2 linked regions of the Struthio camelus genome follow. The protein of the gene in region 2 interacts with the protein of the main gene of each other region in a biochemical or structural test. Links are inferred from orthologs where the notes say so. Each region holds a gene or a part of one and is shown on either strand. Other genes may lie near its edges.

Evidence for each region.
Region 1: the proteins of FLT1 (region 2) and PGF are reported together in a solved structure, tested with the Homo sapiens proteins (2 studies listed by BioGRID and IntAct, with this or other methods). The link is inferred for Struthio camelus from reciprocal best matches to the Homo sapiens genes FLT1 and PGF.

The regions. Positions count from the first base shown.
Region 1 is NC_090946.1:57,827,644-57,842,092, reverse strand, and holds the start of PGF (placenta growth factor), read left to right. Parts: upstream 1-9,162; 5' UTR 9,163-9,225; coding exon 9,226-9,291; intron 9,292-9,506; coding exon 9,507-9,546; intron 9,547-10,174; coding exon 10,175-10,371; intron 10,372-11,853; coding exon 11,854-11,930; intron 11,931-13,446; coding exon 13,447-13,476; intron 13,477-13,564; coding exon 13,565-13,627; intron 13,628-14,292; coding exon 14,293-14,314; 3' UTR 14,315-14,449. UniProt on the Homo sapiens protein: Growth factor active in angiogenesis and endothelial cell growth, stimulating their proliferation and migration. It binds to the receptor FLT1/VEGFR-1. Isoform PlGF-2 binds NRP1/neuropilin-1 and NRP2/neuropilin-2 in a heparin-dependent manner.
Region 2 is NC_090942.1:200,282,195-200,296,645, forward strand, and holds the start of FLT1 (vascular endothelial growth factor receptor 1), read left to right. Parts: upstream 1-7,485; 5' UTR 7,486-7,499; coding exon 7,500-7,797; intron 7,798-14,451. UniProt on the Homo sapiens protein: Tyrosine-protein kinase that acts as a cell-surface receptor for VEGFA, VEGFB and PGF, and plays an essential role in the development of embryonic vasculature, the regulation of angiogenesis, cell survival, cell migration, macrophage function, chemotaxis, and cancer cell invasion.

The sequences.
Region 1 (14,449 bases), on a different chromosome or scaffold from region 2:
TTTCGGGAGCTTTCCTTTGTTTGTTTACTTATCTCACTAGTAAACAGTGCAGCCCTTGGAGATTAGGCAGGAGGGAGCGAGAGGAAGGGAAACCGGACTCTGAGGTTATGACCTCCTTGTGGACGCTGGGGCTGTTTACATTCCCCTGCTCCAGTCCCAGAGCTATTGCAGGACAGTTTCTTCTCAGCATCTTGCCAGGCTGCAGAGTTTGCAGGCTCCGTGCTAGCTCTGCTCCTGCCCTGTTCCTGCAGCACTTCCCTCTGGGTGCTGCCACCACAGCTGGCTAGAGACGGCCAGCCGCCCGGCGTCCCTTGAAGGGCAGAGCCCTGTGCTTAGCCTGCTGCCTTGTATTTCATGAATGGAGAGCCTCTGAATGGGGATTTCGGGAGCTGTCAGCCCTGTGGCCCCACGTACCTGAGCCGAGCCAGAACCTGTGATTCTCCAGAGCTGAAAGGGAAGCACTGGACTCTGGTGGCTTGCAGGGACCGCAATTAAGAGACGTCTGGTTGTCGTTAGTCAGCAGCTGCTGCCAGGACCCAGTGAGTTAGGTGAGAAATTGCCCAGGAAGACTGAAAAGGAGGGAGTGAGGAAGAGGAGGGCGAGGGGCACAGTCCTGGCGAGGGGAGCAGCAGGGGATGTGGGGCATGTGGGGAAGGCAGTTGGAAAGACAAGTCTTCCCATACACTCAGCTAAAATCTCGCTTCTCCTGCTGGCTTGCCTGCTGAGCCGGCTGCAGCAGCACAGGTAATGTGGAGAGCGGGGTCCCTGCGTGCGTCCCTGGGCAGCTGGCAGGAGGCTCCCCTGGCTGTCCGCAGCCACTGGGCGTTACGGGGCTGGAGCTAGACCCTCTGCCTTCCCTCTTCTGCCGTGGCCACAGACTATAGCTCTGTACAGAGAGAGCTGCCTCCTGCCCTGTCCTCCCGGCTTTTCTTGCGAGGTATATCCAGTTCACCTGGGGAGACTTGGCTGTGGGGGCTTCCCAGCTGGTGCACGAGCAAGTGAGGAAGTCGAGAGGACTGCGGATGGGGCTGCGGGCAGGCAGGGAAGCTGAGCAGGGCAAGAGCTGGCCAGCTGAGCAAGGGAGCATCACGCACATTTTCTGGGCCTGCAGAAGAGCTGAAACTTGGCTCACCTCCTCAGGGTAGCATGGTGCTCTGCTGTCAGGGATGGCTGCTGGAGGCACCCCTCTCCCTCTCCAGGTGCAAATTGCCCCCCCCCTCAACCCAATAAGTTGTGCATTTAAGGTAGCTGTCTCCTGGGGGACTGAATTTAATCCCCCAGTCCCTTCAAGTGCTAGTGTGAGGGAGGCGGAGGCAGGATGGAGGCTGGGTGAAAGTCCAGGAGTGCTGGAACATTGTGTGCTGGGAGGCTGTTTGGATTAGAAACTCTCTGCGGATCAAGTGGGCTGGATGAAATGCCAGGGAGGGGAACCAGAGTTTGCTGAACTCTAGTAATTGGACTCGTCTGTAACACCCGGACAAGAAAAGTGAGCTGTTCATGCTCAGCGCAGATGAAGGGAAGGAGCCAGCACGCAAAAGCCAGCAGAGACACGGTCCTGCAAGAATAACAAGGCAGGCTGTCATTACAGAAGTTACTGTCAAGACTGGATAGGCAACAAGAGGAAAAGCAGCCTAGGGTTGTCACTGGGTGCCTAAGCCACTTTCTGAACACAAGTGACTTTGAGCAGCAGTGAAGAACTGCGCGGTGTGCGGCAGTTGTGGGGGGGGACACAAACCACAGTCCGAGGGGAAGGATGCACCACAGGTATCTCTGGTTTAATATGACTGCTTCTTGGAAGGTCCCTGTTCAAAGGCCAGAGTTAAAAACGTAGGGGAGGACTCAAGTAAGGAGCTATTACAGCCGCAGTAACAGATAGGACTGCGCAGCCAGGGAGGCAAAGCTGTAAAGAAGCACGAGTGAATATGCTGAAGGGCTAAGGGAGTCCAAACCAGCGTTTTCTACGTGCTACAGGGAAGAAAATAGGTCACTTAGTAAGTTAAAGGAATGAAAATGATGGGCTGAACCAAGTGCTGAATGCACGTTTAAAATGTGAGCTTCTAGGAAAAGAAGACAAAAACGCAAGCAAACAGCTGACGATCAAGAACAGATATGTGAAAAACTGGAAAACTCAGTTGTGTGGGTCTGGAGGAGCACGCAAACGTTGCCTGAGTCATCAGCAGTTTTAGCATGCTTGAAATTTGTGGCTGACTCTGCAGGTACCAGAGCAAATGTTTTCCTTGACTTCATACATTTTCCTGGTAACAACTGTCCCCTAAGCTGGTCGTTCTTAGTAAAGCATAACTGCTGTAACTCTCCAGATGGAGTAGGGGAAACCGGCTGGGTTTGCTAAGGGTGCCTTAGCCAGGCTAACGCGGCTCTTCGGCAGGCGCCCAGTGGGAGGAACGAGACCGGTTCGGTGTCTCGAGTTAGCACAGCATCTGACACAGCTTGTCAGCTTGCAGGTATGTACACCTCTCTCTGCCTGAAAAATACCTGGTGGCTCATCCTTGCATCAGCACGAGCGCCCACAGGCAAATCGAACTTGCAGCCAGACCTCTGCGATACCAACACAGTCCACGATCCCTGCAGGAAACAAGTAGGCGGTTCTGAATCCGGCCCTGGGATCATCTCTTCTGCCAGCGACTTTGCTGTTCGTCCCCCTCCTTTTTGTAGCCTTAAAATAGAGACCGAGGCTGGGAAGCAGGATGGTTTTTTCTAGGGCTTGTTGTGGAAGCGACCCACACTAAGGGGCCACAGGGGCCGTGCAGCCTGGACTGCCCCTCACCCTTCCTGGCCGCCGGGGAAGGGAGGGGGAGGCATGGGAAGCTGGCATTAAAGCGCCTCTGCTGGATATGAAGCCTCTTCACTTGTTGGCTTGTTAGTCTGCCACGGTTCCCCAGATCTCCTCTCAGGACGTAAGCAGCTGGAGGCAGCGAGTTCAAAGGCCAGGCTGGTCAGGAAGAGGTGAGGGAAGCGTGGGAAATAACTGAATATCATGTAGGAAAACAAACCCGAGCGAGGGACGAGGGAGCATGGTGCTGGGCTGGTCAGATATTGGCCAGGCACCATGGGCCGCCGTTGGCAGCGTTTCATGAATGGCGCGTCAGGCCTTTGCACCCGGAAAAGGTGTTGGCTTTGCTCGGCGCTGCGGCCGCAAGAGGCAAAGGCAGGCGAAAAGCCCGCTGGCACCGGGCGGGCGCTGTGCTGGGGCTGCGTCCCTGCTCGGCTCGGCCGGGGAGGAGGCGATGCCGCGTGGCGGATCGGCATGTGTCCCTCCCTGCAGGGCAGCGGGTTCGGGGAAGCTTCTGAGCAAACCTGGCGTCGCCGCTGCCGCTCCAGGAAGCCAGGCCCCGGGGGTGAAACAAAGCGCGGCCCAGCCGCTTTGTGGTCACCGAGGGGTCCGTGACACTAACAGTCTGGGCTGCTTCCTGGTCACTGGCCAGCTCCGCACAGTTCCTCCGCTCTGGCGCTCCCCACGGCTGCGGCTGGGCGCCGGGCTCGCCGGCGCTCATTGTCTGCCGCGGCGCTCATGCGAGCTCTTCGGCGGCTGCCAGGTCTCCGAGCAAGGCAGGGATGAGCCATCCCTCCACCCCCGTTCTGGGACGGGCTCGCGGACGAAGCCCTGCCGACGCACACGTTCGCCCCTGCCGGGGTGAGCCGGTGCAGAGGCCGTGCGCGCGGCCCCGGCGCGCACCGTCCCGCGCCCCCCGCCTCGGCCAGCCGTGCCGGGCAGCGGGGCTTGGCAGCAGCCCGGGCTGCTGCCCCCTCCGGCGCGCCAGAGGAGGCTGCTGCTCCCCTGCTCCTCGCGTGTTTGCCTTGCAGAGCCAGGCAGAGTCCTGCCATCCCTATTATTTTGCTTTATGTCAATATTATGACAGCTAAAAGCAGGAGAACTGCATCCACATGATAAGCAGCCAGAGGCTCTGGGCTGGGCGTGGATCGTGTTAGAGTTTGGCAGGGGAGAAAAGTGCCTGGCAGCCCCTGCCCGCGGGCTCGCTGGATCAGGAGAAGTGGGAGCCGGGGCAGGCGACGGGCAGGGGCCGAGGAACGAGTGATTTTTACCCATGCATCCCTCCTCTGGCGTAAACACCCGCTGCCCCTTTCCCGGGGGAGATGACACACACGGTAGATGTGGCCTGAGGGAAGGCAGCCACAGACGGCTTCGCTTTCTGATGGAGAAGTAACCTCGATCTCCCAACCCAGCCCTGCTTCCAGGGGCAGAGGGGCTGCTCAGCTCCTGCGGGGGCAGCCCCGTCCCTCCCGCCCCGCCTGGGCCTGCGGCTTTTCGTCTGCGCCGGCGGTGGAGGGCCGCGCGCGCCACAGCCCTCGTCCCGCGGCTGCTCTCGCCTCAGCGAGGCGGCGCCTGGCGCCTGCTGCCGCTCCGCAGCTGCTGGAGAGAAACGCGCAGGGTGTTTCTGGGGTTACGGGGCTCTGCTCCCGCCCGGAGGCAGCCTGCGCTTCGGGAGCTGCCCGGCAGAGCGGGCTTAGCTGCGCCGTGGGCGCTGCGTCTCCGCTTCCCGCTCTGGACCGCCAAAGCGTTGCGCGCGAGGGCTTGTTGCCTCGGCGCGGCGACTGCCGGCCCCGCCGCGGGGAAGGTGCTGATGCAGCGCTTACCTGCAGGTACCCACGTAGGCCAGGCGCTGCGCTTCAGCTCCCTGGGTGCCTCACCCCGCCGCGGGGCTGCGCTCTGCCGCAAGCGGCCGCGTCGCAGCTGAGCCCCGCCGCGCGGGGCTGCCCGGCCGGGCGGGCGCGGGAGCGCTGCGCCGAGCAGCATGCGCTCTCCGTGGCTGCCCCGCCAGGCACGCCGGCTGCCGCCCCGCGGCCCGTGGTCCTTCACCCTCCTGTCCGTCACCAGCATCGCTTTGCTGCCTGCCCTCAGCTTTGCCTCTGTGGGAAGGTGACTGCGTCTCCTGCCCCAGGCTCAGCCTCGGCGCGAAACTCGACGTGCGCCGAAAGCGGAGGCGGGCAGCTGAGCCAGGCTGGGGCCTCAGCGCGCTGCAGAGCTCCTCTCCGGTGCCGTCGCCCCGGCCCCTGCCTACCTGCGGGGAACCAACGGCCGGGCGGGAGCCACGGCCGGGCGCGTCGCCCGGCTTGTGGCGTGCTCCCCCTGCGAGGGACTGCCCGCTCGCGCGCCCCCGTGAAGACGTCCCGCCGCCCTCCAGGGGCCGCGCCGGCCCGGCACTGCCGCCCGGACCTCTGGCCCGCAGGCAGCGCGGCGCGGGGAAGGAGCGGGCTGAGCGCCGGGGCCGGAGCCCGCCGCTCCTCCAGGCTTGGCCGTCAGGTGTCGGCAGTTTTGGCCAGCCCTACCGAGAGGCCGTGGGTCCCCAGGGGAGGCTGAATCCACCCCGAGGAACAAAAATAAACAGCAGAGTTCCTGCCACGTGCAGCTGGGGCTGACTAACGCCAGCCGCTTCCGGCCGCCTCGGACAGCAACAACAGGCGCTGCAAGGCACAATGTTCGGGGTGCGCAGCACAGCCCATTTCCCGCTATTGTCAGCCTCCTCCTCGGCAAACAGCTCCCCCTGCACACCTGGGCTGGGAGGCGACTTTGACGCCACAGGAATCGCCGCGAGGAGCGAGGGGTGCGCAGGCACCGCCACCCCGGCGCTGGCACCGAGCCCCCTTCCCCTCGCCCTTTGCGCCGCGTGGCACGGCCGCAGCCTCCCGCAACGCCCCAGCCTGGTGCCGGCAGCACCCCTGCCCTGGCCACCCCGGGCGGCTCGGCGGGTGCACCTCGGGCTGCGGAAGGACCCGGGGCTTCTCTGAGGTCTAAAATCAGCTTTTCTGCTGCCGTCACCCAGCGCTGGCTCCCCGCAGGCTTCCCCGTGCCGTTGGCTGGCTGGCGATGGCGACCCGGCGGCGAAGACGCTGCCACGCTGCGCAGCCCATGTCCAGCCCCGGCCGCGCGCCCCTCTCGGTGCCCAGCACCGCGGGAGCGCTGAGGAGCCCTTCGGGTCCCAGGTACCCAGCCAGGCTGCTGCAGGCTGTTTCCTCTAGGAGAAATGCTGATGATCCCAGGGGTCATCCATGCAGCCCTGCTCATGTACGAGGGTGGGAGTCAACTCTGTGTTCCCCTGAAGAAAACAGCAGAGATCTCCTGGCAGAAAAATCTGGGTCTGCGTCTCCGGAAAGGCTTGTGCCCGGGAGAAGCCGCCCACCAGGCCATGCCCATCACCGTCTCTTGCTCTCTGGTCCTTTCTCGCTCCCACGTATGGATACGCCTGGCTGCAGTTGCCAGCCTTCTGCCTTTCGCTTTGAGACACGACCTGCAGGAAAGCCCTCCCACTACCATAGGGGACCAAAGGAGAATAACAGCCGTATCACATGGCTAGGGAAAGCAATCAAATCTAATTAAGGACGAACCCTCAGTGCTCTGGGATAAAGCACTAGCCTGAGGAGCCCAGCGTGTTACATTTTTGTGCTGCTCCGACCTTGGAGAGTCCCATCACAGCGCAGGCTCTAGCTAAGCTGCCAGGAGGGAGTGGGAGCTCGGTGGTGCCTTGTCCCCGGGCGAGGAGCACGGCCCCAGCAGCCCGGGGGTGGCTTCGCCGGGCACTAGACCACACGGGTTTTGTCACTTCCCCTGGGAGGAAGTCTCCAACCCTCCCCGAACTTCGTCTGGTGTCATAAATAGCAGCAGCACAAAAATAGTGACCTGAGGTTTTCAGGGCTGTTCTCTAAGGGGTTAGCGGTGACACAGGAGGTCCTGGATACCGTCAGCTTAAGAGGGAAGCAGGTTTTTGTTGATCTGTTTTCATCAGAGATGCTGAAGGTGAGGTTTTGGAGGGCAGAAGATGCCTGTGAGGGGATCTTGATCCTAAAATGGGTCTGTCTTACGGAAAAGAGGACTTAGCGAGAGCTGCAGCGCGCAGCCTGCAGTGAGCGGGGAGGTTTGCCAGGGCAGAGCAGCTGCCTGTGCTGGGACCCTTCAGGGCTCGCAGGCAGCCCGGGCTTTGCCTTCGGGCCCCATCCAGAAGACCCCAGCAGGGCTGTGCTGCTGCGGGGCTGCAGCCAGGTCACGGGCCCGCTGCCCCAGCTGGACTCACGCAAGGATCGCCCACAGAAAGGAAGCCGCATCATTTCCCGCTCGCCTCCCTCCCCGGCGCGGCTAGCGGAGCAGGGAGGCGGAGAGGCACGCGGGGGCATACCCGAGCCGACACTCTCGGCCCACGGCTGCTGCAGCAGGTTTGCCGTGGCGGAGGTGTTCTGCCCTTTAAGGAAATGTCGCTATTTGCCTTATGCTCCTCGCTGTTCCCCTGAGCCTCGTCCATCTCCTGTTCCCAAAACGCGCAGCTCCACTCCCCGGAGCCTTGTGGGAGGCGGTCTGAGAGACGCGCCGGAGCATTTATAGTATCGCATTGGACATCCAGCCTCGTCCTGCAGCTGGGGAAGGGTAGGCCTGGCCCCCGCGGAAAGAGCATGACAGATTGAAGAGCGAGTGGCCACGGCCCCAGCCAGCTGGATATTTCTCCCGTTAGCAGGAGGATGTTGCTGGTCACAGGTTACCAGTATCCAAATATTATTTCTCTGCTCACGTCTGTGCTCCACGCGGCCCAGAAAGGGGATGCTCATCCCAGGAATGTAAACTCTGCCCAAGGCCTCTGAGGAAATAGCTTCAGCCCAGCAACAGGATTGCACTCGGCAATTAAGGGCTGGTCTCCCGGCCACACAGCTCCTGGGGGGAGCCCTTTGCTCCATCGCCAGAGGCTGGCCTTGTGTCTGAGAGGTGGCCCCAGGGGACCTTCCTGCAGGGACAGGCGTGAGGCCCTCTGTGGTCACGGTCTTTGCAATAACAGGATCCTGTCTTTCGAGCAAGTTGGCAGCGTTTGCCGCTCGGGGCAGCCCTGTGACGGGGCTCTCAGGTGGAAGGAAATGCTCCCCCCGCTCCCCCAGCCCCCAAGCTGTCGGCAGGGAGCTGGGGGCTCCCCCGGCCCCGGGGCCGGGCGGTAGTGGAGGGGGAGCGTGGGCATTGCAGGGAGGGCTTTACCTGCTCCTTGCTGCCCAGCCGAGGTGGCGGCTTCAACAGCCACCAAGCCCCACCAGGGCAGCGGCACGGCGCAGCGCTGGGCCGGCCCCTCCTGGGCTCCTGTGGCCGCAGCAGCGCCCTGCTCGAGCGCCGGGCGAGGGACCAGCGGCCCTGCGACCAGCTCGGCAGCACTGGCACCTGGGGGCCGAACACCCGCTCGTGCTCGGGCCTCTGCCGCCTGTGGGGCGGGGGACAGGCAGCTGACATGTCCCCGCGCCGCAGGGGCAGACCCAGGCAGGGAAGCCCTGGAGCAGCCGCCCCACTCTCCCGGGACGATGGCAGTGTGAATCCTGGCAGGGACGCAGAGCCCTTTATTACCCTGGGATCCACGTCCCCAAGTGGATCATGTTGCCTGCCGGCATCCATTCCCTCCCTGCCCGCGGTGACTGCAGCTTTCCTGGCCGTCCAGACTTAAAAATAGAACAGAAAAGGCCACAGAGCAGCTCCGCATTTACCCCCAGCAGTGGGGTTTGGCCTGGCCACCCCCAGATCCGCTCTGGGGAAATGCTCTGCAGCCAGACGGTTGCCCCCGCCCCGGCAGCAGCCTGGCCCGGCTGTGCCCACCGCCGTGTCCCCAGTCCCCTGGGCGGCAGGGACCCCCCGAGGCAGCCGGGACCCGCGGCACCACGCCAGGGCTGCAGGGCTAGAGGCCCCCGGGGTGCGCGGCGGGGGCACCGCCAGCTCCCGCTCCCCAGCCCCGCGGACGCACCGGGCTCGGGCCAGAGTCACCAAGGGCCGAGGCGCAGCCCGAAGGGCGGCAGCCGCCGCCGCCCGGTCCCAGCCTGCCGGTGCCGGTGCCGCTGGCGCTGGCGACGGGGCGCTCCGCCGTCCGAGCTCCGCCGGGGCCGGGCACCTGCTGCCGGCCGGGGCCGGGGCCGGGGCCGGGGCCGGGGCCGGGGCCGGGGCGGGCCGGGGCGGGCGGTGGGAGGACCGGGGTCCGGGGCGGGGCGGCGGCGGTGAAATAGGACGGCGGAGCGGGCGCGCTCCCATGGCCCGGCGACGGGGCGGCGGGGGCAGCGGCGGCGGCGGCAGCAGCAGCAGCAGCAGCAGCAGCAGCAGCAGCAGCAGCAGGAGCGGCGGCGGCGGGGCGCGGCGGGGCCGGCCGCTGCCCGGCGGGGCGGCATGGCGTGCGCGGCGGCGGCGGGGGCCCGACGGCGGCGGCGGCGGCGCTGAGGCAGTACCGGGGCGCGGCGGCAGCGATGCGGCTGCTCGGTGCCTTCCTGCAGCTGCTGGTGGCCGGGGCGCTGGGGGCGCCGCCCGCCCCGGTGAGAGCCAGCGGGGCGCCGCCGCCCCCCCCCCCCCCCGGGAGGGAAGGAGGGAGGGGGCGTCCCGGTGCGCGGCGGCTGCGGCGCCCTCCGGAAAGCCCTTCCCGGTGCTGCGGGCGGGGTCGGGCCGGGCGCCCCGGGGCTGCGGAGCGGGCTCCGCCGTGGCCCCGTCCCGCCCGCCGCCCGGCTCAGCGCCCGCGTTTCCCTCCCTGCAGGGCCCGGAGGCGCGGGGGACCGCCGGCTCGGAGGCGCCCGGTGAGTTGGCAGCGGGGCGGCGGGACGGAGCCGGGAGGGCGCTCGCCCCGTCGGCGTCCCGCAGCGCCGGCCCGGCCCCCGGCGCCGCCGCCCCGCGGGTTAGCGGCGCGGGCGAGGCGGCGCCCGGCTCTGCCCGGGGCTTGCAGCGCTGGCCGTGACAGCGGGCTGCTGAATCGGGGCCCAAACACTCGGCTTCACCTCTCCTCTGCTCTCCCCTGCTGGGAAGCCCGAGGGGAAGGGAGAAGGGGGCGGCAGCAGCGGTCCGGGGCCGTGGGGGCGGCTTTCTCGTGTGCTGTGGGACAGGGCTGCTGCTGCTGTCAGGCCCAGGGACCAGGCAGAAGAGGGGACCCCAGCTGCAGGGGGGGGGCTGGAGACTGAGGAGAGATGGAGCTGGCAGGCAGGGGGAGAAAGAGCCCATCGAGGTGGATGTGGCAACTGTGCTGGCCCGTGCACCAGTGCAGTGAGGAGCCTGCTGAGGGTGCAAAGGGGTCCTCTGCGTCTCACCCTGCCGCGGCTGCTGTGCCTGCCACCTCAAGGTCCTGTTCTGGCACCTGGTACTGAGCGTCAGAGGGTGGGCCGGTGCCGGGCGCTCTGGACGCCTTCTTATAGCCCCGTGGGTCTCTTCCAGTTGTGACCTTTCGGGAGATCTGGAATCGTAGTTTCTGCCGTCCTCTGGAGCAGCTGGTGGACGTCATTACCGAGTTCCCCGACGAGGTGGAGTACATCTTCAGACCCTCCTGCGTCTCCCTGCAGCGCTGCGGAGGCTGCTGCGGAGACGAGGGGCTCCGCTGCGTCCCCGTGGAGACGAGCACGGTCACCATGCAGGTGAGCGCTGGCTCGGTGAGGGCCTGCAGCGACAGCCGGGGAAGCGGGCTCCTTGCCAGGTGCCAGGAGGTTGAACCTTGCAGCTTCACATCCTCAGGACGTGGTAGCAGTGTGGATAACAGGGGATGGGGGGGAGGGTCTGGCTTACTCAGAACTGCTGAAACTCATGCCAAACTGGAAGGGTCCCCCCGCCAGCTTTTAAGGCTTATCCTTGAGGGTAGATGAAGCCCTTGGCAGTACCAGCCTTGCTCCCTGCTTCCCTGCCCTGCTTCTGCATGGTCTGTCTTGCTGAATGCTGTTGCCTTGCTGGACCTTCCCTGGGCCCCACTGCCGCACTAGGGGCGTCCCCATGGCCAGAGACCCTGCCTGCTGGGGCAAAGCACCGGCTCCCCCTGAGGCGCAGGGAATGGTTTCCCTGCATCCTGGCTCCGGGTGCCAAGGAGATGCCTGCACTGACAGCAGGCACGCGCTGGATGCCCTTTTCCCGGGGGCAGGGTGAACACGAGGGGCTGTGCATGCCGGGTTTCCAGTCCTGTTGTGGAGCTGTGGGAAATCCTGGGCTTTAAACAAACTGAGCTGGCTGCCTCTTCCCCACGCGCAGAGCTGCTGTCCTGCTCTCTCTGCAGCTCTCTCACTGTGCTGTCAGAGACTGACCTGCCGTCACCACAGGGAGCAGACGAATAGCTCTGCTTTGCCATGGGTGATGGACTAGAGCGCTGGCAGCAAATCACCAGTGGCTTTGGCCCCTCAAGGGTCAAAAGCAAGTTGGAAGGCAGGGCTGGCATTCCCAAACAATCTTGAGTTAGGTGGAACAGAAGTCTGAAATAAATAGGAGGAGGCGGCACTTCCCCAAGCTCCAGGGCGGTCAGGATCCAGCAGACGCGTGTGGGGTGGCAGTGCTGGGCTAGGAGCGCTCCTGCGGGGCGTTAGTGGGGATCACGCCACAGAGGAACGTTCCCAGACGTCTGACCCAAACTCCAGGCTAGGTGGTGCAGACTGACACGTGGTAGGGCAAATCCTGTTCCCCTGGGTTGGGGAGCCCTCGGGAGGCTGTGGGAAGGGGGCAGGAGGAGGCAGCAGCAGTGGGAACGGTCTAGAAAACATGACCTAGAAGAGAGATTTAGTTCAGCGAAGGAAAAGATGCCAAGTGGTCAAATATGTGAAAGGTCTCCACAGAGGCAGGAGATCTGCCCTAAGGTTGGGAAGTCCCAAGAAGAGGGGACTTACTTAAATTTCAGCCCTGAAGACACAGCGAGGCACCCGGAGAGCCTCCTGAGCTGCTGGGCCTGGCTGAGCTGCATGCAGAGGTGGAGGCTCGGCTGCCGGAGGTCCTGAGCAGCAGGTTAGATATGAGAAGCTGGGGGCCCAGAGGCTGGGGTGAAGCGAGCATGCCCCGGGGTGGAGGAGGCGAGACAGTGCCTTGAGTCCTTCCAGCCACGTCTGCTCCTGCACACCAGGCAATAACCTTTGTTCCTCTTTCAGCTCCTGAAGATAAAGCCAAGCGGAGAGGCGCCGTATGTGGAGATGGCCTTCACTGAGCACAAGCGCTGCGAGTGCAGGTGGGGACCCTTGGGCACCGCTGTGCCCCTGCAGCCAGAGCAGCCTCGCCAGCTTGTGGCGCTGCTGCGCGTGTGTCCCGGGCAAATGGCCTGCTGCAGGCAGCCTTTGTGAGCTGCCTGGCGAGAGCTGGGCAAGGCTGGTGGCCCCAAATGCGAGGGCTGGTTTGGGGCAGCTCGCCCCAGGCGCTGGCTCGGGGAAGAGCCCTGGCCCCGGCGCACCCGAGGATGACTGTGGCTTAGAGAGAAAGCTGAAGTGCTGAGCCTTGAATCCCCATCTTGAGGGGGCCATCCCATCTGGGGATGGGGACTTTGGGTTGACTCACAGGGAGGGGTCTGGGCTGACAAACGAAAGCTTAAAAATCCCCAGGCTTGACCTGGTGCAGACACATGGCACCGACCTGACCAGGCACGGATGCACAGCACTGACTCGGCCCGGACACATGGCACTGCCCGGGCACGATGTGGACCTCTTGCAGTGCTGACGCTGCTGTGCAAGCTCGGACGGTCTGGGCTCCGTGCATGCAGCTGGAGCAGCACTGGCCCTTGGTGCAGAGCCTCTCCAGCACCACCTCGTGGGTCTGTTCTCCCATGCGGCGAATCTTGGCATCTGCTCTCCATCACAGCCTGAAGACAATTTGTTATTGCAAAAACTGGGGAATGAGTGTCCTGCCGGGCAGCTGCTGGATGTGATCCTTGCCTGGAAGAGCCTGAGGATCCCTGTGCCGGTATTCCCCCTGTAGCCATAAGCATGGCTGTGCTGGAGCAGACCCATGGCTCGAGTAGCTCAGTGCTGTCTCCAGAGCAATCAATCGGTGGATGTGTAGGGAGGAGTGGGAACCAGCACATGCGTTACTTCCCCCTGCCTCCAGCTACTTTCCCTGCAGGGAATTTCCTGAGCCTGATGTGGTTTTCCTACTTAGGGTAACTCCCAGCGGATCTCTGAAGTACTTGTGCAGTCTGCCTTTGAACCTATGTAAACTTTTTGTATCTGCAACACTCTTGGCTTCTCTCTAAGCAGCTTTCCTCATCCTTATGTTGTTCCTCTTTGAATTTTAGCAGAAGTGGAGTGGAAGCTTCGGCATGGGCTCCTACTGGGAATAGTGAGTCCAAGTATGTCATGGCTGCTGAGAACTGAGATTTTTGAAGCAAATCCTGTATGTTACTTGGGACTCTTCATAGAGCAGATGGCATATGGAAATGCAAACAGTCCCTGAGAGCAGTTAAAAACTGAATCTATGCTTCATGTCCTGATGGGCAAAATGTCATGGCCCACAGGGGAGTTGTAGCAGTCGGTCATCTCCTGCCCCTTTGCTGTCTCTTTTCTTTCTGCATGTTGCAGTCTGCTACTGGGTGAGGAGTTGATAATGTGGGGAGAAGTCGTGCTGGGTCTGTCCTAAGCTTGAGTCGTAACTCATCTAGGTTGTGCTACGCATTGAAGTGTTTCAATAAACCACCTCCAGAAGCTCCATAGATAGCACTGTCCAAGTAACCTTTCCCCTCTGTCCTTTCTCCCCAGGCCGCGGCAGGACCTGATGAAATTCGGGAGGTAAGTGGCGCTGGGAGAGACGCTGCAGGTGGGGGTACTGCTTCTCGCTTCCCACACGTCAGTCTCTTGCGCTCCTTTTCTTTTGAAGGAGGAGATCAAAGGGCCGAGGTAAGAGAAGACAAAACAAGAGGAGACGTAAAGACTGTGAACTGTAAGTGAGCAGGGGGAGATACGGGCTGTGTCTTTTAGGTTAATTTGTTCAGAATAAACAGTTAAGTTTTTAGGTCTAACTGATGCTGTGAATAGCGGTGCAAAACATGGGGCTGGGGAACAGATCTGGATGATTCGATGATGTGTAGATAAATTGCCATCACAGACCACACTTTTTATATATCCATTAATTTCCAGTTTCAGCCTCATCTTGCTGCCAGCCATGTCCTTACTGCAGTCCTTGGCTAGCCGTTGTTTGGGTTACTCTGTCCTTTCCGGCCTTATATTTAGCTGACCCCTCCGAACCGCTTGATGCAGCAGTCTGTACCGGACTCTTGTTGCTGTGGACACTTCTGGGGTATAGAGCCTGAAGTCAGCATTTTCCTGCCGTGTTTTGTTTTGTTTTCCTGCTGTGTGACACTTGCTGCTCAAGGCTCAGCCAGCACCTACATCCCAGCATGCTGGGCCTGACACAGCCATGTCCCCCTCTGTCCTCCATGAGCCCCAGCCCCCCAAGAGGCTGCTCATGGACCCTGCCCATGGCTTGGTGACAGAAGTAGGGTGCAGGGGAGGGCCAAGCCTGGGCACTTGCAGTTGGGGTGAGCGTGGACCTGTCTGGCACATGCAGACCTGTGGTGCTTACCCTGTGCCACGCTCTCTTCGCAGATGTGGCACGCCGCGCAGGTAGCCTCCACTGTGCCTGTGGTCCCGCTCCTCCTGCCGTCGGGGTTTGAGCCAGTTGCGTTTCTGCCTAGCACATTGGACCTACGGAGCTGTGCCCCTCCGCAGCCTGGAGGCTGGGGAGCGACGGCTGCTAAAGGGA
Region 2 (14,451 bases):
ATAAAACATTAAAATACCTTTCTAAAATACCTTACCAGCTGTCCCCATGAGATACTTACAGGGATACAATCTCTACTCTTACTCAGTTTAAGCAGACACAGGCCTACAGGCCTTACTGTGGGGCAGATTTTACTTCAGCAGAACTGGGCATGGGTGTGTATAAAGTATAATACACATTCCACAATGCGGTTGTTCTTTAATACAGTCTTCATTACCTTGCAGTGTTCAGGAAAATAAGAGTTTGAATTTGGTGCCTGCAATTGATCCCAGCTTTCATCTCTCTCCTCTGTCTTTCCCTTACTGGAACTGATAAAGAAGTCACTGGAAATCTGAGGATCTCAAGAGAAGACCTGCAACCAAAATCTTCTGATCTGCTCTTTTTGTCTTTTTTCTTTTGCTGACAAGTGCCTAAACCTCAGCTTAGATGTGTTGGTAGTTTTGTGAGGTAAGGATGCACATAAACAGTGTCAGCAGCTCCCAGTACTTGTGAGATTAAGTTATGTTGCACAGATCATTTATTCTCCTAGACCTGTGCTGGATCCTGTCTGCCGGACCTGGTGAAAAGAGAGCATTCCCAGACAGGCTTTAAAAGAACCAGATGGGCAGCTCTGAGGCTTGCGGAGTCAGCAAGCAGTCCTTCTCCCCCCCTCTCCCCCCAAATTATGCTGACCTGCCAGTTATGGTTTTCCTGCATTGAAGAAACCAAAGATATTAATTTCACAGCATGGAAATAACACTATTGCATCACTAAGGTAATACCTCATGCGTCACCACGAGTATCTCATAGAACTGGAAGTTAAACAATCTTCTAATTTTTCCCGTCAGTCGATTTTACTTCTAGATTTTCAGGGAAATGTTTTGTGGAAACGATAGCTATCTTACAACTGCTGTCCGAAAAACCCCAATCATGGCTACAAAATAAAAGGAAAGACAGTCCTAGTGCTTTAGAAAGGAAGTTCTTTAACTTCCCTCAGGACAGTAAAGCTCTCTTTAGCCTTCCCCTGTAAAATAACATCCTTGCTTCTTGCAGATGGACCTGGCATTAGATCTGATGTGGTTCTGGGCAAACATTGCAGCTGGCCTTCTGTCTTCCCACTTGTCTGGGGAATGGCTCGCAGTGCTACTGGCTTAGCCTCACTGGATCTCACAGGGGCCAGAGCTCCAAGCTTGCTCCTCCCTCCTGATACTGCTCTGCTTGCGTTAGTGTAAGTGAACCATTACACAGTGCAGGGAGTACACCAACCCTACCATCTGGGGTATATGTGGTGTAACCATATGCACTATGCCAGTGCTACAGGACCTTGACAGTGTTGCACGTATCCCACATTTCTCAGTGTGGCTCCCAAGATGCTCCTGTGAACATCATTTCTGTGGTCAGAAAACTGTTTGCTTTTGTTCACATTTTCTATCTGATTTGTTCCAAAATAATCAGAGCATAGGCATTCATGCACAGCACTGAGTCACCAGCCTCTCTGCAAGCAGCAGCTCCATGGGCTCTCAGCTTGGAGTCCTGGATTGCATTATGATGAGGGAAACACTAAGCCTCTAGGGGTTAGTGTTTGGGATGGTAAGAGGAAAAGAGCTTTTCATTGTAAGGCTAGTTTTCTTTTCATGGCCCAATATTTTCTTGGGTAGTTTTCCCTTTTTGACATGTTTTGGTTTGGTTTTGTGGTTCTTTTGCTGACCTTCTGGTTGTCTTTCCCACTGAAACGCAGTGACCTTGGCCTGAATTCACAGAGAAGAGATGCAATTGATTCTTTCATGTGGTCTTGCCTCTTTCTGTGCACTTATCCTATACGTTCATGTAGTGACAGCTCCAGAAATGGCATATATATCCTCCCAGACAAAAGGAAGAAGAAATCATTGGGGATTGGATTTCAGAAGCCTGGGAGATACAGCTGAACTAGCTATATCACCACCACACTAACCCAGCTATTCAGAAAGTAGGCCATTCCCATATTGATGCAGGTGTGTATGTGTGTGAGTGAGGTCTAGCCCATGTACACGTGCATATAGTAGAAATGCTTACTAACAGTCTTCCATTGTACTTGTGTTTTTCAGGGACAAAAAATACTGTTTCAGTTTTTTTTCCTGTTGTGTGAAATTTTGCTGAATAGACTTGTAAAATCAATTGTATAATATTTTGAAAGAAAATGTGTATTGCACCAGACTTAAGAGGGAGAGGGACTAAAGAGGGACAAAATCATGGGCGTTCTGCCATGTGGACCTGACGGGAAGGGGGGTAGGCGGGTAAATCGGCAGAGCCAAAATTGTGTTGGATCTGTCAGGGAGCACTGTGGGCCAGCTGCTTGCTAAGAGAGGGTGAGCCAGGCACCATGTGCGATTAGAAAGGCCGACGGGAGCAGTCACCCCACCTACAAGGAGCTGGGATGTGAAGCAGCAATCTGGGTGAGGATCGGGTCCAGAGACTGAGAGTTTGCTGCTCATCGGGCAAGCCTGCTGTGAGGAGGCAGATCCAAGGAAGCCTAGCTGGAGGGTCCAGGTCAGGGTCAGATGTGCAGAGGCAGGACCCTGGGTGCAGACGTAACTGCTCCACAACTGCGATGTAGCACAGGTGGGAGCCGGTGGTACAGCCTGAGCTTGAAAGCAGCTTCCAAGGGAAAGAAGGTTCAGGACCTTGCTCCTAGCTTTCTTCACAACAGTTATTGTCAGCAGAGGAGCTGACCTCGGACTAAGCCAGCCAAACTCCTTAGCTCAGCCAACGAAACTCCTGGAAGCGGTGTACGCTCCGAGCCCTGACAGGGTGTTCTGCGACCTGCACCAAGCTAGGCTGGAGGATTACTGGAGCTCTTAACTCATTAGCTTCCTCACCTCCTAGTAAACTACTAGGAAAACCTGATTAATTGCTCATGCCAGTTGATTAACTGTAATAAGAAATAATGAGCATCAGTAAATTATGTGCTCCCGTGGCCTCTACCTTCTTGCTGTGGTTAGATAGCTGCCTTCTTTACCTACCCCTAAGGTCGACTTAGTTTTGACAGTGCTCTGAATAGTCATATCCTTCTGTGAATGATGGGCAGCAGTGCTGTGAGATTGTCCTAAAAGGACTGAATCTTTGTTGCAGCTTTTAGTTATCTTACTCCACACACTGACCCGGCACAGAGCAGAGAGGCTGTAGAGTGTAAAGTAAAGCTCAGTCTTGCTGAGGGAAAGCACAGTCACAACCATAGTTGATGTCTTTGCCTGTGCTTCTATGCATATGCCTCATATATGCATCTGAGCAAGTACAAGTGGTTGTCCCATTAAACACTGTAGTACAGAGAAGAGGTCTTTCAGCTTTCTCTTCTTACAGTGCCGGAGAAAGATAAGGAACTTTACTTTCATTTAAATGAAACTTTGAATGTAGTACGTCCCTGCTGTTCATCCATGATTAATCCAAATAACAAAAGCAGCTAAAATTGGGAAGATGACGGTAAATCAAATTGACTTGATAACATGCTTCTCAAATTCTGTCCCTGACTTAGGGAGACGGAACCAAAGGAAATTAAAATAATGGTGACTGAGAACACTTCATTGACAAGGGACAGGGGAAGAGAGTTACAGGAAGGTCTTGGGCACACCCAGTCCATCTCGCCTAGGATATTGCTGCAGGCTTCAATTTCCCCAGGAGCTGGATGAGTGTGAGACGCTCCAACACTCTTCCAGCTATCACAGTTCACTGTGTCTCCCTTTGTGTGGCTGTGTTGTAAACCATACTAATGAAATTATTCAGGTTGAAAATGGCCCTCCATAAAAACTGGGCCAGTGAAATCCCGGGTTGTTTCACCAAACTGTTTTACACAGAGCTCTGAAAACAGTTGTGCCAGTGCAAAAGAGCAGCAGTGAACTGTAGTGTGGGGAGGAAGGGTGGACAAGGAGCACTGGATCCTTGCCTGCCAGCTCTGCCACTGAAAAAAATGTAATTTTTTTGGATGATTAACTGAGATATGCCTTTGCTTAAATTTTAGCTCCTGGGAGCACCCAGTCCTCTGTTAAGAAGTCAATTGGTAGATGCAGATTCTGCAGAAGACCTGCAGAGGGAGATCCAATCTACTTTGCTTTGATATCTTTCCCTCTCTCCCAACAGTGGGAAACCTGGGAATGTCTAGCAGGCAATCTAGCCTGCTGTTGTGAGGTGTGTACCTCTGTGCCATGAGCACAGGGGATCAACAGAAATCATTAGGTCCTTCAGTTCTCACTCCAATCCACGTAGTCTTTTCCTGAGGACAGGCTACTGCTGGTGCAGATGCTGGTAATAACGTTTTGTGTAATGCTCTGAACACTGGAACTGGTATCTCATGGAGCTAATTTTGAGCATCAGTGCAAATAAAAAAATTGCTACCATGACTGGAAAGAGTCAGGTCAGGCTGGGAGGGTATCAGCTGCTGGTATGAGTGGGATTTTCCAGGCTCTTTATTTTTTGCCACGTCCACGGGAACTGTCCAAGCTATTCCTCCCAGGAGACTTGGCTAAAACCTTAACTCAGGATGTGCCAGGTGTCCTGCTTCTAGCAGGGAATAGGATCCACAACCTCAGGATGTGTCCTAGTGACTTGACTAAGTCATATCCGGGTTGAGACGTCTCTCCACCCCACCTTGCTCTTGGGTGGTGTCTGTTTCTTTATAACATGTGCGTCTATTGCACAAGGCAGACCCAGGAAATGGGCTTGACCCCTTCCTCAGATGAATGCCCTAATTACTTGCCTTTTCAGTCAAATGTCCTATTGCTCGCTTTCTGTGGTGTTCCAATGAGTCTTGAAGGCCAGGGAGGGGGAAAGGATGCATATTGAAGAATTAGTGCTTTTGCTATCTGATAACTTATTTATCTTAGGGCTAGATGTATGGGTTGTTCAACCAAAAGGCTTGGCAGAATCATCTTACTCTAAAGCAGGGTAACATTCATGAACAATACAACGTACTGCTGGGCTGCAAGTGAACCCTTAAAACTGATGTCTACTGTGAGGGCTATTTCTTCTCCATCTTTTGCAGCTTCTATAGCGCTGGAGATTGAGCAGACAATCAGCCTTGCAGGAAAGATGTTTGTCTGCTATGTTTCAAAGAGGGCTTACTCTCAGCTGTTAAATTTGGCAGGTTTTCTTTCTAGCATTTGGTAATAATTTTTTTAGCAAATGTTAGAGAAAGGAGATTTCCCACTTTTCACAGCCAAAGGAAACATAATGCCCAAGGATAAGACTTGTCTGCACATATGCTACCTATTACTTAGTGCCAAACCTGAGCCTAAGATTCTGGTGTCAAGAGATCATATTGCCTGCAAGATGTACATTTGCCTGGAATGGGTCTATGGTTGGCCCATCAGCATTTGTATGGCCACAGCACCTAAGGCACTCTTCAAAATTAGCTCCCATCCGAGTAGCTATTGCAAGTTATGTCATAGTAGATACAAATAAGATCTTTCAAATAAGTTCCATGCTGCCTTCTCCTTCACCATACACTGTCCATCTGTCCAGATGCTTCAGCCTCTATGTTTAGAAACATAGATGTAGGTAGATGTGCCTTTCATCTACCTCCAGGCATATGCTTCCTATGGTGTTTTCATTCTGCCTTCTGAGAATATCTGCTGCCTCATTCTTGTCTGTATCTCCCTAAGGGGGTCTTTTTAATCTTCTTGCAGGCTCCACTGGCTTTAGTATATGAACTGGATTGAAGGGTTATGAACAGATCTTCAGGTCTGCCCTTCCTGTTCCTCAGTCCCTTGGGTGGATCAGGAGCTGATGACATCCGTTAGAGAAGGAAGGTGGTAAGTCTTGCCAAAGTGTTGTGGTCTTTGGAGGGCCATGACCAAATGCAGCTGCGGTGTAGGAGGTGTGAACAGGGTGGGAGCTGGTGTGGCATAGCTGCAGAGCTCATGATGGGGCCTGCATCATCACAGACTCAGCATGTACTCAGCACTGAGAAGGTCAAGGGCAGGGACAGAGAGTTCCCTTAGCTCCTTCCACAGGGAGCCCTTGCTCTTAGGGGGTCTGAGCTGTCAGGATGCCCATGGTCCTAATTCTGGTTAATCTATCCTCACTGGCTGACTGTTTTCCCAGTTGCTGTCCTCTCCACTGGAGGAGGTGATTTCTTATGAGTCATCCTCTTCAGGAAAGAAATTTTGGGGCTCTTCCCCCCATGGTGTAAGCAGATGAGGGGGAAGGTACCCATAACTATTTTATTTTCAAGGTCTCAGTTGGAGGCAGGATGATTGGAAAATATAAGCTTAAATTCTTAGCTTAGGGTGTCACTTATGAATAGGAATCTGACAGAAGCCTGCAGGAAATATTCTCACCAACTTTAAACTTGAAAGTTAAACAGTCCTCAAGTTAAAAACAACACCAACTTCTCATCTTTTTTCTTGCACAGGATGGTCTGGTGGGACACAGGAGATCTGAGTTCTATTTCTAGCTTCTGTCACCCGCTTCCTATGACCTTGGACTGGCTGCCTAACCTCTTTATGCGCCTCCATTTCCTCCTCTGTGAAATGGGGATAATCACATTTACCTGCCTCATGCAGAGACTCTTGAGACTTATTTCATAACATAAAAACATAGGAAGGGCCATACTGGGTCAGACCAAAGACCTCCTTCGCCCAATAGCCCATCTCTGGCTACAAAAGGGAGAAAGTGGAAACACATAGTGTAGGTTTTGTTGTCATGGGCTCCCTCTGGTCTCTCACAAAATAAAACAATCATGGAAAGCGTAAGGTAAATGCATGAGGAGGAGAAATACATTTCCAGCTTAGTCCTGGAAGTCATAGGGTCGATGAAGGCCGCCAACAGCACTGGGCACACTCCTGGAACATCTTTAGCCCGTGCTGCCTCTTTGCTGCCCAGAGTGCTCCATGCTGCTTGCTGGGGACCCCGTGCTGACCCTCTGGGGGGAAGGTGGGGAGAGCAGCCCCGGGCACCTGGCAGGGCTGTTCCCGGGGTGCTGCGGGTGCACGGGGTGCTGCCAGGCTCCCCGAGCGCCCTGTCCGACAGCACGGGAAAAGGTGGGAGTGCCGGTCTCACCTGGCCCTAACTCCACGCTCCTCACCACGGGAAGCACCGCTGGCTCTTTGCGGTGCAGGAGGCCGGCGCTGCGGCACGGGACGCCCCTAGCACTTCTGCGGGGAACCCGTCTGGTCTGGAGGCACGAGTGTGTTGCGCGCCTTGCCGGGCGGAGCCGGTCGGCCCCGTCCTACACCGCGGCGCCGACGGGGGCGGTGAGCCCCTCCGGGACCCCATCCCGGTGCGGGGCAGCCGCTGGGAAGTCCCCAGCGCCGGGCCGGGCGGGGCCGGGCGGCGGCGGCGGCGGGAGGGCACGGCCGGCTGGAGCCGGGCGCTGCGTCGGGGGCGGCGCGGGGCCGGGAGGGCTGCGGGAGCGCCCCGTGCCTGCCGTGGGGCGGGCGGGGGGTCCCGTGACGCGTCCCGGGGAGGGCGGAGGATGTGGGCCGGGGGTGGGGGTGCGCGGTGAGGGGTGGAGAAGTTATAAATCAGCGGGGCGGCGGCTGGCTGGTAATTGATGTCGGCGGGAGGTGAAGCAGGCAGGGCGGCCGGCTGCGGACACTCCCTTTTCCGCGGGCAGGGGCGGGCGGGGAGGGCTCGGGGGCTGCTGGATGCTGGTCCCGCGCCGCGCTGCACCGTTATCTCCGCCGCCGCGGGAGGAGCCCCGGACGGAGGAGAGCCCGTCGGAGCCCAGCCGGCGCCTCTGCCTCGCTGCCGTCGGCAGGGGAAGAGCCCTGCGCTCCCCGCGGGCAGGACCATGCCCTGCCAGCTGCTCTCTGGGACCGTGCTGCTGGGGGCCGCCCTGCTGCTCGCAGGTAAGGCCCCTGCCCCGTCGCGGGGCTGCCGCCCCCCGGACCCGAGCCCCGCTGCCCCTTGCCCATCCTGCTCCCCCCACACACCCCCGCGGGGATCTCCGCGACGCGGCCCCACCGGCTCCCTCCTCGGCGGGGTCCCGCACCCTCCCCGGCCGCCGCTTCCCACCTGCCTCCCCTCGGCACCCGGCGGCTCCCCAGAGCCCCCGGCGGGGGGGAGGCGACGGCCATCGCGGCTCCTCAGAGAGTCGGGAAAGGCCGGATCCCGAGGGGGCTTCACCCTCCGGCTCCCGGCCGCCTGCCCTGGGGCAACAGCGGGAGGCGGCTGGAGAGAGGCGCGCCGGGGCGCCGGCGGGTGCGGAGCCTCCGCGCCTCTCCCGGGCAGCCAGCGGTGCCGGCGGGGAGCCGAGCGGCCGCGGGGGGCCCGACCAGCCCCAGGCGTTGTCCCAACCGGTGCGACAGCATCACGGAAAGAAAACAGGTCTAGGCTCCAGGGCAGGCTTTTTTTCTTCCCCTCTTTGTTTCGAAGTGTCAGCCTCTCCCGGTTCTACCCGTTAAGTAGGAAAGGAAGGTTACCCATTTCCTTCGCAAAACACACATCCTCGTGGCCGCCCCCGGGCAGGACCGCACGTCCGCGGAGCACCGGCCGGCGCTGCCTGCGCGTTAAGGGTGGCCGCGCTGGAGCTGCCTAGCGCGGACGCGCGCGGAGAGCGGGAGGGCGCTGCTCGCCGGCGCTGGCCTCGCGCAAGGCTGCGCGGTGCCGGGATAGAGGAGCGCACAGATTTGTTCCTCCTAATGGAGTTACATTTTACTTTGGGAGAGGAGCTTGCCCTGCTAGGCCGGTGCGCCGTGAGCTGGAGCGTGTGCCCGCATGGCATTGCTGCTCGCCGGGGAGCAGGGCTGCGTGGGGCCGGGCACGGTGCCGGTCCCGCGGGAGCTCCTCGCTGCCGGTCTGCGGAGCTCCCCGAGGGGCAGGTCTGCGGCCCCGGCAGCCTCCGCGGGCAGGCGCGCAGCATGGTCTGGCCTGACCGAGCTTGGGGCGAGGGCAAATCCCGCCGGGAGAGTGGGAAAACTGAGCTCTCCGCGGCCGTCACCGAGGCCAGTGACCGCGCAGCGCGGCGTCTCTGTGGTCAGGGCTGCGGCCACCCGACCTGCGGCGCTCCCCCTCACAAGTGGCCGAGGGCTCGGGCTGCTCCTCCGCGAGTGCCCGCGGGAGCGGCCCCTGCGTGGCGCGGAGCGGAGTGATGCCCGCGGGAGGGGCCCCTGCGCGGAGCGGCGCGGAGCGGAGTGATGCCCGCGGGAGCGGCCCCTGCGCGGAGCGGCGCGGAGCGGAGTGATGCCCGCGGGAGCGGCCCCTGCGAGGCGCGGCGCGGCGCTCCTCGGCGGCTGCCGGTGCTGCCGGCCGACAGCAGCCGCGTCCCGGGGCTGCCCGGGGTGACCGCGAGCAGGGGCTGCTCTGAGGAGACGTTTTCCTACTCGGGAAAGGCTGATTCATCAATTTATATATATATATGTATGTGTGTATATATATTTGTTTGTGTGTATGTGTGTCTGTGTGTACATACATTTTCCCCCCCGGGAAAGTGCTATTTTTCCCGTATTATTTATCCCTGCCAAGGAGGTTCTCATACCCAGGATGAAGTAGGCACAGGCACGGGACGCCTGCCCTCGGTACAGGAAATGTTAGTTCAGATCCTTACTAGGCTTCCTTCAGAGCATGGGCTTGAACTCCAGTGTCCGGCTCCCACATGTGCTCCTGAAGTGACCAGCTACTCTGGGGCACTGGCTTCCTCTTTCCTGTTGGAAAGGTTTCCCGTTGTGCAAATCATGACAAACCACTGCCCAAAGAGAAGATGAACTCTGTGATCCAAGGGCTGTGAGAGACTGGATCACTTTCCTGTTCCCCGTGCTACCCAGGGATATATACACCTTAGAACAGCTCCAGTGGGAAAAGCTAAGCTTGCTTAGTGGAAAAGCTGGTGCTCTGGGCACTGGACTACCATGAGGTACATCCTGGGACTGGCTCAGGCGCAATAGGTGCTGGAAGAGTGCTTTGTTGTAGTTTGACTGAGTACCTTTGCAACCTCTTTGCTGGCAATTCCCTCCCTTCCCCCCAAGTATGATAAGTTAAGGTCCAAATCAAGATTAGGACTTTCTTGAAATTGTTCATCTTGTTACAATTTGTTTTGCTGAAAAGGAAATTGTCCCTTGCACAGCTTTGTCTAGGCATTCCAGATAGGTTGATCGTGCCTCTTCTGAGTCAGCAGTAAAACTCTCCGTACTTGCATTTGCACCTGGCATTTTAAAATTACGGGTGAAGTGGCGGGATGTTTTATACCATGCATAGATACTCACAATACTTCTCTTTCCATGTCATCCTCCTACACTGCTTGTTTGTCTAAAACTGTTACTCAGGCTGGTCAGCGCTTCCCCTTTCAAGTGTTCTTGATGAAACTCGATTCATCACTGCCGTGCGGTCCCCTGCTGTGGTTTAATCTCGAAGGGCATCTGCTCAGCTCCCATTGACCAACAGGTACTGGAGTACATTCACAGAAAAAGTCAGTAGTTCAGGAGTTACTGCAGACAGTTTCATAGGGAAGGGACAGAAGGAAGTCTTTTAGCTTGTATATGTCTAAATTTAAATCTCCCCAAAGCAGTATGCAAACTGCAAGCCACGAGACTTCCCATTTCAAAATGAGATTAAGGAAATCATATTTCTTTGACTTGTGAGTGCTGGGAACTTTAGTCCTCTGATATTTCTATGCATATGCATATTTTGTGTTCTCCGCTGTGATGTGGGAAGGAACAATATTTTTGTATCTGTTCTGCATAGTGTTTGGATACATTTGCTTTATAGTTTGTATATATTTAGTCCACAAATTATATCGAATACATTTATGCTAAAGCCTGTATACATAAAGGTCAAAATGAAGACTTTGGGGCCGCATTCAGGTTTGATTACCCAGTCCTAGACTGTATGACAATCAGTTAATCAGTGGTGTTTGGGAATGAGACGGACTGGGATTAAACCCTAAAAAGACCAGATTCTGCCGTCTGGAGCAAGGACAATGTGGCCACATTTCCAGAAACATGAGACAGATAAATCAGGTTTATTTTCAGCTGTCAGCACATGAATGATACCTGACAATTATCGGTGAGGAGATAAATCTAATCTAACACAGTCTTACCCATGGACAGTCCTATATGAATCTGAGATATCCTGGTGGGAACCAGATACATTAAAATCCTGAGTGAATGATGGATTTTTCAAAATCCTGGTCAGCTGAGAAAAAATGAAGGAAGAAGTTCTAAGTCAAATCTAAATAGCACTGATATTAATTTCTTACAATAACTAACCTGACTTCCCTAAAAGTGCTATTCAGACTGAACTTCATTCATATGTAAGGTTTCTACTTGATTTGTGTACTCAGCTGAAATAGCTTTACAGGCACATAGTTACAGTGGTCTAACTTGAGATTAGGGATGGAAGTCTTCATGGAGCCCTGAAAAACTGGGTTTCCCATGTCTTCTGGACTTTTATGGGAAATGGAGTCCCTTAAAAATTTAAAACTGTGTTCACAGAAGGCTGAGGACTTAGAGCCTAATGTGTAACGCAGATTCGTAAAGCAAGTATACATTGCGTTTAAGTACCAAACTTTCTGATATTACTAAAGAATATCACTTAGCAGTGTTTAACCAGACAGATGTCTTGCTCATATGCTCTCACAAAGCTGGATTCATTCGCATACATGTGGCTGTAAAGTGGAGTGATTCCTTCGGGCTAAGCTAGCATATTCTAGATTTATAGTTCACATAGGAGGAAATCAGGACTAAGCCTCTAGTGTGGTAAAGATCTTCATATCCAAAAGTGCCCAATGCACTTAAATCCTTAAAACTTTCTCATTAGGGAGATTTAGTTTTGTTTTTAACATGCGAACAATAACAAAATAATAACAAACAAACTGAGCCTCTTTTTTTTCAAATGCTTCAAAGACTTAAACCGGTAGCCCTTCACACTGTGTGGGTGTACAGGACAGAAGGAAATTGCCCAGATTTTCAGGACAGTTGCTGAGTCCTCATACTTTAATGTGGTTTGGAAACTTCAAGCGCAGTGTTTATCAAGTTGCTACTTTTTGTGTCCGACTGAGATTGGGAAAGGAAGAGACTCAGCAGATGAAGGTTAAGGTTCGGCATTTCAGAAATCTGTGTCCAGTGGGGCTATGGTGGGGCTTTATCAGCAAAATTCTTCCTTTGAATCTACTCAAGTTAGGGGCTGAGACTTCCTATTGCAGTTCCAGAGGGAATGGAAAGAGAAACTTGGCAGGAGTGCAGGGCAGCTCTGCCATGAAGCCTAGGATGGCCAGCAACCACAGTCATCTCTGCTGCTGGAGGCAAGTGCCTCTTACTAGTATGAGGCCTCCATGCAGCAAGCTACTCCCTTCACAGACTTCCTTTTTCTTTATATCTCACCTCCTACAACAGTCTGTTTTTTATCTTCATATCAGTATTTGTAAGAATGTCCCCACATTTGAGCACAAGAATTGCACTCATGGACAGCATCAGACTCCTTTCTGTTTGACCTTGTGATGTACCTTTACTACACATATTCCTTCAGCTAAGAAACAATTTTCCCCAGCATTCCCAGCTAGGAATGGCCTGATTTCTTAATATACCATGTGGGAACTGTTCATCCTAAAATTGGTTTAGTGATTGTCATGAAGATGCCCGCACAGTTTTCTCTTACTAGAATACAGAAATTCAGATTCATTTGCCTGTTAGCACTGTATAACACTGTGTGATTAAAAGGAAAAGTTAGATATCCTGCAAGAAACAGTTTGAACAGTGAAAATGTTGGCATTAGCGCCCAAAGCCAAGCGTGGCACAACATTGTGCCCATTTTGACCAGCAGAATGAGTTCAGGCTGCAGTGAAGCAAAGCTATAACTAGTTGAGAAAAACGAGAGGGATAAAAAAGGTTTGAAACTACATGTTTCAGAGGTGCTTTAATCTGCAACTTAAGTCTTGAGCCATTGGGATGTATGGAGAAACTTGAACTGGGAGTGTGGGTGACTGGTTCTTTCTGTTCTTCTGTATTGAATCATGTATCCAGGAGGGTTGTGGTTTTTTTATTTTTTTGTTTTTTTTAATGGCATGGTGGGTGGAAATATGTCAGCCTAATGATGAAGAATAGGATCATTTTGCTAATGACACATCTATACTATTCAAAACCATTATAGATTCTTGTGAAATAGTTATCTCATTTGTTCTTCTTCTTTTGCAGATTTATTTTGAGTTTTGTGTTAATAGAGAAGCAACAGATCCACATTCATGCCGATCCAATTTTGCTGTCTCTGCAATTTTTCCATCAAATGCTATCTGGTTTTTGTTACCAAAATCAATCTGTCCATATTAACAATGTTAAGTCACCCTGGCAAGTACCTATTTAGACAGAGACACAATCCAACATGATGACATTGACACTGATTTGCATTTGCATGATTCCAGTATCTTTCCAGATGTGGGGCTGCTCTTTAAATATTCATTGATACATGGCACTAAGTATTCCTAAATATGATGCCTTTTAAGCCATTCTCCCTCTTTTGGAGCTCCTGTGGCACATTGACATGTATGCAACCATTAATTCCATTTGAAACAAGTTGTTTCTGCCTGTTAAAGCAGGGAAGGATGGGGAAGTGGTTAGAAGGAAGCTGTTTCTAGGATTTTAGTTGGCTGAAGATGCTGCGCTAATGTGGCAACATGATTTCTACGACATCCCCGGAAGCGGGGGTGGAGAGGACAGGGCACTGTGGCCCTTGCAGAAGCCCAGGACTGATGAGCAGATGTCTCTGCTCTTCAATGTTCCCTTGGGAAGCCTGTGTTCTGGGAACAGGACCCCCTGCTTAGTGTGTGGGGGCGCGGGGAAGGATGAGTGTAAGGGCGCTTCATGAGAGGAATTTCACAATTTCACATAGTTCACTTAAGCGTCCTTCCTGTGGGATTCTTTTCTTTCATGGAATGAAGGAATTCATTCCTTTTGTTCCCATTGTTATTTCTCTGTAGAAGACCTCTCATCAGGATCACTGTGGGCTAATGGTAATAGAAACATGGGAGCTGCCATCCTGGATCAGACAAGGGCTCTGTTTAGCTCAGTGTCTTGTCCCCAGTAGTGTCCAACATTTGATCTTCAGAGGAAGTTCAAGAAACCCTACAGAAAGCAGTTATCTGATACAATTCTCCAGAGAGAAGATAGGATCTAACACCTACTATTAGCTATTAAGAAATTATGGGATTGAGGGGCAAGGAAACTAAAATTAATGCCTACTAAAATTTAGGCTTTCTTGATGTTTATGTTAAATGGATATGAAGTAATGAAATGTAATCCCACGGTATTATATATTATATAGAATTCTCTTTATTTGTTGCACTGGTAAAAGTTTGGGGTGAAAATCTACCTTCCTCTGTTTCATGCAGGGCTATAGTGTACATTAATACTCATCTATTTGTCAGATTTATCAGATAAGAACCAACGATTATAGTTTACCAATGTAAATTGAGCATAGTCATACTTGCCAGAAGCTTTCTGCATATACACCTACTACAGACTTTGTATTTCAGATGTCATTTAAAAGTAAAATGGGATTAGTCTCTTGGACCATTA